Linked DNA regions of Schizosaccharomyces pombe. The gene in region 2 interacts genetically with the main gene of each other region. Each region holds a gene or a part of one and is shown on either strand. Other genes may lie near its edges. The genes, in order: mug4 and opa3.

Evidence for each region.
Region 1: mutations in opa3 (region 2) and mug4 together harm fitness less than expected from each alone (positive genetic interaction), as found in Schizosaccharomyces pombe (one large-scale study listed by BioGRID).

What each region holds. Positions count from the first base shown.
Region 1 is NC_003421.2:805,470-811,068, reverse strand, and holds mug4 (protein mug4), read left to right. Parts: upstream 1-2,213; coding exon 2,214-3,435; intron 3,436-3,491; coding exon 3,492-4,807; 3' UTR 4,808-4,993; downstream 4,994-5,599. Other genes in the region: rRNA processing protein Ipi1, read left to right, coding at 5,060-5,104, 5,148-5,220, 5,269-5,391, 5,442-5,599. UniProt on the Schizosaccharomyces pombe protein: Has a role in meiosis.
Region 2 is NC_003423.3:2,932,942-2,936,932, reverse strand, and holds opa3 (mitochondrial outer membrane lipid metabolism regulator Opa3), read right to left. Parts: upstream 2,243-3,991; 5' UTR 1,952-2,242; coding exon 1,844-1,951; exon of another isoform or gene 1,779-1,843; coding exon 1,621-1,778; exon of another isoform or gene 1,503-1,620; coding exon 1,112-1,502; 3' UTR 811-1,111; downstream 1-810. Other genes in the region: ubiquitin hydrolase Ubp9, read right to left, coding at 1-423, 481-494, 544-651, 696-722; GTPase Ypt1, read right to left, coding at 2,892-3,223, 3,383-3,479, 3,543-3,590, 3,642-3,765, 3,934-3,944.

The DNA.
Region 1 (5,599 bases), on a different chromosome or scaffold from region 2:
AAGGAACACAGCGAAAGAAAGAAGCGTTAAACAATAGGAATGGTTCTTTTTGAACCGATTGTTTATAGAAATAATAAAATGAATGTTATGATGTGAATGTATGAGTGGAATGTGGATGTGAATATGAATATGAATATGAATATAAAAGAAGATGTAATTAAAAAGTAGGATTTGGAATTTTTCACAACAAAAACTCGATTAACTGTAAATGTCGAGTCCTATTGTTGGTTAAAAAGAAAATTACTTAAAAGTCCTTTTGTAATAAATTCTACTCTTAAAAATTAAAACTGTTTATGCCTTATTATTACACATGTGTCCGACATGCCTTGCCTGTCCAAAATGCCTTGTCTACTATACTTTTCTATACTCAGTCTAACGCATTTACTTTCTCTGCCTGCAACCTTTCTGACCCGCTATAACGATAGTGACTGTATTCGTTTAAGCTTAGTTTCCGTGTTCCATCATCAATTGTTAAGCTTATTTCCGCAAATACACTCGCTCTCGCTATTTAAAGAATTTTCGGATTTTTTCGGTCTGCGCAGTAGCGACTATGAAGGCAGCAGAAGTACATTCCTACCGGAGAATGAGTTCCGTTGGTATTACACACGGAAGGCAAGTGACAAGGCTAGTGAAGGATGATCGATTGATCCTATTTCTCGGGTTGTAAAGGCCCCAAAAATAGAGTGTTACAAGAAAGTAATGGGCCTTGCTTTGTGCGTATTTTTGTTATTCAACATGAGTTTGCTATAGCATGAATTTTCTCTGAAATGCGCATACTAAATTGCAAAACTTGTTTGATAAAAGTGCAATACACTTATCATAACGATGTTGATGAGTAAATGAATGTTGCGCATCACTTGACAGTAGCAAAGTGCAATTATTGGTTTGCGCAACGTTGTTTTGTTCATTTCGCCAACTTTGCTTATTCACACCGGTTCTATGTTCAGGCATTTTGTTGGTCGTTGGTTACTAGAGGAAAAACTGTTGTTGTTGATACAAACAGAACCCAATTGTCCTTCAACCCAATCGTTTCTCAATGTTTACATGGTCAAGGTTTGTAGTGGAATAAATGGAATGGGCTGGGATGAAAGGAAATTAGCACGTGGAAGTGTAAACACATGATTTTTCAGCAATCCCGCTAATGTGATAGGCTTGGGTGAGAAGATGAAAGAGAAATAAAAGAAATAATCGTTCATCAATTCGTTCAACAGTTATAAAACAACCCGACCAGATAAAGTATTTGAAAGATTGGAGTCATTCAAGAAAGCGTAAGGATTCGAGATTGGAATCGTTGGAGAGATAGAAAACAAAAAAAAGTTTTGCTAAGCAACCATTGTATAAAATTTGAAAAAGAATTTTCCTTTGCTTTTTGTTTTTTTCACTTAGTACAAGTAAACAATCTCTTCCATTGAACCAAATCGTCCATCCTTTGTCAGCACGACCCTTTGCATCCCTCTCTATCCCTATAACGATAATCTTTCACTACGCTGTCCTTGTCTAGGATTTCTGTTGCTGCTAATCCTCGCTAAACATGCAATAGTATTAAAAGTTGTTGAATGACATCGTTATTTTACACAACGAATCATAGCGAGATCATCGCTGCTCATTGTCGTAAGCAGGCCAGGTGTGTTCATATTATAATTGTATCGGGTAAATGCAGCCCATGTAAACAAAAGAAATACGCTTAAAAGGGATTAGCTAGAAGAGAAAAAACCACCAGAACTAAAAACCAATAAAATAAAATAAAAAATCATTGTTTTTCTATTTCTTTCAGTTTCACCTTCTCGTTACTTCCTATCGCCTACTATCCATCTACCCACTGCCCACCTACCAATCTTCGGTCGGCCTCGTCTTCACCCACTTGTTTTTGTTTCATTCCCCCTGCATACACCCCATTTTTTTTATTCAATCTTTCTTTTCCTTTTCTTTTCTTATTTTTGGCTGTTTATTGCTGCTGTTTCCATTCCATCATCTGCTGGCTCTTTCTTTGTTTACATGTGCTATACTGATTGCTTCTTTGTCTTGCCTGATCTCCAGTACCACATCATTTCTTTCTTTTTACATCTCTTTTCTTCCTAAACCCATTTGTATGCAGCTCATGAAGTATTTCCTTTTTCCTTCATTATTCATTCATTACATGAAATAAAGTGCTCGTTTACCTGCTTTTCAATTCATTTGCTGATTTGATTTGCGCTTCTTTTTTATTTTTCACTATGACCCCACCGTCCTCGTCTTCTCATTTCCCTTCCCCTTCTAGCGCCAACAATGATTTTCATTCCTTAAGCCTTGAAGCGCATGGCTCCTTGTCCGACAAATTCATTTCTCAGTTTCGCTTAAACTACACAATTATACCCATTGCGCAAAAATCTAATATCTCTTTACCCTTCCTAACTTTGTCTCCATGCTCCTTCACCATCTGTTCTCTGCGAGCCCGTTTACATTCTCTGCATGGCCCATCCACAGTTTTTTTAAAGCGTGAAACTTCCCAAATTAGCGCTCGCGTAAATGACGAAAACGGTTTTACTGCATCTCCCAGTTTTTTTAGTGTTGATTGCTTCGACGAATTATTTCCTACTCTGTCGACTACCGATGAGCAACCAAAGGAACCATCTATTATTTCCATTTCCAGTAGTTCTTCTGACCCTAGTTCCTCCCCTCCTCCTTCTTCCTCCCTTTTAAAAACTCCCGACAATGATTTTTGTGCTCGGCCAGAAACGTTTGTAAAATCAGATACCGCCGATATAAAGCTACAAATACATCAGAATAATCTCGTTTTAACATTCCTGGATACAACGACTGTCTCGAAAGTAAACATCGTGCTAGAAATTCACATCCCAGTGCTTCGTGACTTTGTGACGTTTGAACAGTATATTCCTTTAATGTTTTTACCGTCACCATTTGAGACGATTCTTTCTTTTGATAATCTAAAATCGGACAGTCCCTCTTCTGACTTACATTTAGGTTGGGATCATACTGTTTCCAAAGAGTCAATGTCACAATCTATTGCTGAAGTCCTAAATCCTTACAACAAAGGTGTTTCTCGCTCTTTGAATGACGCTACTAACATGGAGACTTATCACTGGTCCCCTTTTCCTCCTCAATTTTCAACCTTTAATGATAATGCTCTTCGCCTTCGCATATACTACAAACCGAAATCTTGGCTTCCCAAAAATTCTAGTTGCTCGCTATCTGTAGACGTGAAAGCTACTTTGCTTGAGACTACCCCCCCATCATGCGAAGTATCCTATAATCTACTACTAACGTGTCGCTCCTCTAACCGTTTTCGCCTTTTTCCAGCTTCTACTCCTAACAGTAATGGTTTATGTCGAAACGACTCAAAGTGTCGGTTTTTAATGATACTTCCGGAAACCATTATTAAATCTCCTTCTTCTTTTATTGGTGATTCATATAATATTGCAAACATTGATCCACCAAGTATGTAACTTTTTTCCTCCTTTTCGCTATCAAACTACTAACACTTTTCCCGATAGGCTCTATGAACGTTCAATCGTCAGAATTTCGTGTAGGTGAAGTGCAGTCTTTTACTACAAACACATCATCCTTCGCATTCACATTCAAGGAAATTGTACAGTTGGGCTCCAAAGCTTCTGTACCCATGATTTTGTTCCCCGCCCCTTCTAACTATAAGCTAACGATAGAAAAACCTCCTTTCCCATGCGATTTAACAATACCTCATACTGCTATAAATGACTCTTGGCTTCCTATGAAGTTGAAAGAGACGAATGCAATTTCTTACTACAGAAAAACATGTTCCTCATGCAAGTATCCTTTCCAATTCTTTATTAATAAACTACCATTCTACCAAAGTCCCTCACTACCCTTGAGTGCTACTTATGTTTGGATTGCTTCTGCTCTTTTGTCAGTTCAGCCTGGGAACGGCTCCTTTAACATAATGCTTAGCCTGAAATTTGTTTCCTCAATGAAACCGGGAACTGAGCTGTTAACTATTAAACAACCAAAGTCTTCACTTTTAAACTGGGGGCTAGTTAATGGCTATCCTAAAACTGAAGGAAGAATTGTTCTTCTTCCTCGCAACGACATTGTACTAATTCAAGCTGATCAACCTACTTCGGTTTTTGATTTATGTTGGACTATTAAACCAACCTATGAAAAAAGCTCAAACTTTTCTTGCTTACAACTGCCAATTCCAGTTTTAAATACACCCATACTAACGCCAGTGACCATTAATATACAATCTACCACTTATTATCTAATTGGATATGCCAATCAAAATTCTAAAAAAACTCTAGATCAACCCACTAGCTTATTAGTACTCGGCTGCAAAGCTAAAAACGTTTCTGAACTAATACTATCTTATCTACCGGAAAAACCTATACCTGATGGTGCACCTATTGTAACTAATGTCGTTGAAACTAATAAAACCAATGAAGCACCTTCGAGTTTTCGAAAGTGTTTGCAGCAATTCCTAGTGTTTCTGACTTTTACGGGGATGACACTTTTTATACTTTATCAACTAACATTTCCTTATGGTGTCGCTAAAGACAACAGTTCATTTATTGATACTCCACTGCCTCATAGTTGTGAAATGGAAAAGAGTTTAAATGTATTACAGCATAAAGTTTTGCAACTGCAGGCAGTGAATATGAAATTACATGATTACTATGAAAAAGAACCAACTGAAATTTACAAAACCGTATCGGTTACTAGCACTCAAATAATGCCAGCTGTTACAAAAATGTCATCATTCGAACTTGAAAGGGAGCAATTTCATAAGGCATTTGGATTTTTACGGCTAAATAGGAAGAAAGATGACAATGCCAACTAAACATTAATTTTTTCAATCATCAGCACACTTTTTTAATCGTACATACAAAATGCAAATCTTTTGATTAAATTGAAATTTTTTATTAATGAATGTGTTGTTGCAAAACGACTTGGATTAACAAATCGAAAATTTTCTCATTTCATTACATTAGGCACTACTCACATTTTCTACATTTTGGGTACTCCACCAAACGTAACGTTGTCTGAAAGTACGAAGTTTAAATTGTACAATTAATTCCACAATATATTAAATATGGGTAAATCAAAGAAAGCAAAAGCTAAAAGAGCTGATTTTAATGTAAAATTGTTGTCGGAAATAGCTGTATTAACTGATTTTTTAGAAACAAAAACTCAAGGTGGGAAAATCAAAAAATGCACCAAATAATTTTACCGATACCTCATTCAGAACAAAAAGTATGAACAAAAGGAATTTTTATTCAAATAACTAACCTAAACATCTAGCGCTCGTACTTCCAACACAGGCAGCTTTAGAAAAGGAGGATTTCAATACAACAGCTAAGGATCAGGCGTACTTTGCACATCTTTTAGGAATGTTAAAGCATCATAATGCCAATCAACGGCAGGGTAAGAGAAATTTTCTATTAACTTATGCATCTTTTGCTAACATGTTAAAGAGACGTTGGAAAAGCTTACACAATATGTTTTATCTCATACAAGCATTTTGACGACGTCGACAGCGCTGCTGTTAAAGTTAACATCGCCTTTGATACTTGATGAATCCTCATCGGTACGAGATTGTCTATATCGATTTCTTGAAAAATTTATATATATA
Region 2 (3,991 bases):
AAAGCTTCATTGTCTCTACGTAGAACTTGGATAAAACGCTCGGGAGAACAAATACCATAACGACAATCACAGCAACTTACGGAGCAATAAAGATCCTTTAAACAAGTATATATGTTTTCTTTCATTCCATAAGCAGAACAATTGCTTTCGCCTACAACGATTTGATGCTTCGTCCCGGATTCAGAGCCGACGTTACTAATATCGACACAGCCGCAAGAATTTATACCATTGGACCCGTATAAAGAGGACTTCCTATTCTCCATGCTCTTTTTCTTACTGTGTCGTGAGGAAGATGATTCAGGATGGTTGGTTTTTGTACAAACGCTTTTAAAATTTGGAGGAGCACTCGGAAGAGGATACGAATTTAAAGAATCACGAAAGGGCTTTAAATGGTATAAAGATACTAAGACAGAACTCACGTAACTATTTCGTTAGAAATTTACAATCATAAAAGCAACGCTACAAGTATGATCGCCATACCATGTATTTCCATACTAAAAATATGTTAGAGCAGAAGAAATTATAACTAATAAAAATGCTTACATTTGTTAAACCATAGAATCGATCTGTTAGGGTTTCAGGGCGAATTGATGGCTTCGGCAACTCTGCTTCCCAAGTGCTTTTACGCCGGTCAGTGGAGCCTGGGGAATTCTATAGTTTGTCAGTCTTCAATTCATAACTAACAATTGAATTACCATTCCCATCCAACGAAGCAGCGACATGCTGAGTTGAACTAAAGGATGCTAAGTTTACAAACCAAGCACAGCGGGGAAGTGAACGCAAAGGGAAGCTTTCACGCGCTCAGAAAGGGGCGTACGTTGGTGATCATAATCTTAGGCTATTATTATATTAACAGCCAACTATCTAAAATAACGAAGTGCAATGTATTGTAAAATGAGCGATAAAACTCAGTAGATATTAAGTCAAAAAAGCTATAAATAAACCGTAACTAATTTTGGAAATGTGATCTGGTTAAACGAAGTATCAAATGTACAATAAATTAAAAGAAAGTAAACATCAGTTTGGTGAAATGGGAACAGATGAATTTCTGCAATGTATCAAAATTTACTCATTAATGCAAGTTATGTGTAATCGTAGTATTCACCATCCACTAACCTGTAGAAACCGATTTGGTGTTAGAAGATGGAGGATGATCTGCCTTTTCTGAGACTGTTTCACGTGGGATTTCCTTTGAAGGAGTGGCTTCTGCTTGCTCGTTCTGACTTGGCGTGTTTTGACGAAGAGTATGGAGCTCACGTTCAACTTTAAGAATGACTTTGTGGAGTTCGTCAAAATCCTTTTCGGTACTATCAATTTCCTCAGTCGAAGATTGGAGTTCATTCTTTTTCTTCTGTAAAACAAACTGCTTTTCCATGATTTCGTTAATACGAACGATTTCATGTTGTAAACCAAGAATCGCTTCAGCAACTTCATCTCGTCTATTCTTTTCCTTTCTACGAGCCCTCCATGTTTCAAATAAAATGGCTCCTCCAGCAACAGTACTGTAAATTGTTAGCAAGAGAAGAACATTGTGACAAGTTGGATTTCGTAGCTCCTTCACAATGTGCCGTATTAAGCATTGTGGAGAGGAAGTACGTCAAATCGTATTAATTTTCATACAATATAAAAGTTTCTGATAAAAATGTTGCACCAGCATCGACTGCTTTGGCATCGTTTAAAGGTCGTAATCGTACATTAGCTCCTCCACTTTTAGCTCTGTTAATTCCTGTTATTCTAAATTCCGCGCGATGCATCCATTGAGCAAATTCAATACATGCCTATATAGAAATTTCGTTAGTAATGCTATAAGATTCTCTTTATCATCTATTTTACTGATTTATACCTTTCGGAAAGCCTTGTGCTCTTTAGCTTGGGCTTTGATTGTATTGGCAATCGGTTTGGATAATGTTCTTACTAACAAGCTTCCGATTTTTAAGGCTAGAGAAGACATTGGATTGTAGAGAAATGTTAATGGATACCAGAACTTCAAAAATATTCGAGGGGGAATAAACCCGCAAAGGATTTCAAATTACCGACTAAAAGTACTACCACCTCAATTAAATAGAGGTATAAAAGAAAGAAATCTCCGATAAAATTAGAATGCAGATATAAGCGTGTAACAATAGCTAGGATATTTATGCAAGGTCGAAGATATACTCTTCCGTTAATCAATAGCAATATTTAAAACCGCAACACCAAGTGCGTGCTTTATTTTTTTAATCTATTAATTAGAAAAGTTATTGGAAGAGGAAAGTAAATTTGATGTTGCTGAACTTGATATGCATATTCTGTCGGTTTCTCTGATTGGTTTACTAATCCTTCTTACACCGATCCCTGTGTGTGCTTAATATTTTGCTTGTATTAGAAACTTTAGTGTCGCAGTTATCAATACTTGTCCTTAGTAGTACAGTTGTATTTTCATTTCTTAATGTAACGTACATACCATTCAACCTTTGACTTACTATTATATATTTGATTTTTAGTTAATGACTTTTGTTAGCGAACCGTATGTTATGCAAATAGTTCCAAGCAACTATAGTTTTAGGGAATACTGTAAAGTGCTAGTTAATGAGCAATACGCGTATTATACAACGTTTACAACAGTTTATCATATCACGCTACAAAATAAAGTACATAAGACTAGCAGTTTTCTACATAGCTTTGCTTAAGATTTTAAACTACCGTTGATAAAAGGGAAACGTAGCATGCATCCAAACCTACAAATAACTTTCTATAAGTATCGTAAAAACTCAGAAAGTAGATACCTAATATTAGCAGTTCACCGTCAGCGAATGAAACTCACAAAAGGAATGACAGCGAAGTACGTAAAACGTATGTATATAAAAATATATTAAAAGCGCATTCAGAGGTATAACCAACAAACATGTAGTTTAGCAGCAGTTGCTGGAACTTTGGGAAACGTTAGTGCCCTGACCAACCTTGACACTAGATTTGGCATTGGAAGAGGCAAATGTATTATTTCCCATACGTTCCTTAATTTGACGGGACATAGTTAAGAAAGCTTGCTCAACATTTGTAGAATCTTTAGCAGACGTTTCGAGGAAAGGAATATTCAAACTGTCAGCAAACTCCTTAGCAACAGAATATTCAACAACCTTCTTATCAACCATATCTGACTTGTTTCCTACAAGAAGACGATTGACTCCTTCAACGGCATATCTATCTATTTCCTGAAGCCATTGCTTAACATTGTTGAAAGAATCTAAGAAGCAAGCATTAGCCTCGGAACCGCGTCGGAAACAATGTGAAGACTAGAAAACGCCATAAAAATATCCCCCAAACGCCTTATAACGCATATACGCGCATATACAGAAAACGGAAGACAATCAAATTGGTTTTCCATACTTCACACATTACATACCTTGATCGGTAACATCGTATACGATGATAATTCCATGAGCTCCACGATAGTATGAGCTAGTAATTGTACGGAAACGTTCTTGACCAGCGGTATCCCACTATGATAAATCGTTAATAAAAAAATATCCCGGAACGCCAACGAGAAGTAAACTATCACTTACGATTTGAAGTTTAACAGTCTTTCCCTCTAATTCAAAAGTTCTGATTTTCTAAAAAAAGTTAGCAATAAATATGGTTAAGCTGCTTGAAAACGGACGTACAAAATCAACTCCGATAGTAGAGATATAGGATTCAGTATAAGTGTCATCGGCAAAACGTAGAAGAAGGCAACTCTTACCGACACCAGAGTCGCCAATAAGTAAAAGCTTAAAGAGATAGTCGTATCTATTAATATTAGCATTCATCTTCTTACGGTAAAAAAACTCATTACCTATTGATTAGCAATTATATCGCCCAATTTACAAGAATTCTTTAATTTTGGAAAGAAAATACTCTATAAATTGTTAATTTCTAGCTCCTGATGTATTGAATAGTATGCTAAATCCTTACTACTCTGGATTCATCGTATATGCACAGTAATGGCGGACGTTCTGTTGCTCGCTTCAGTCTA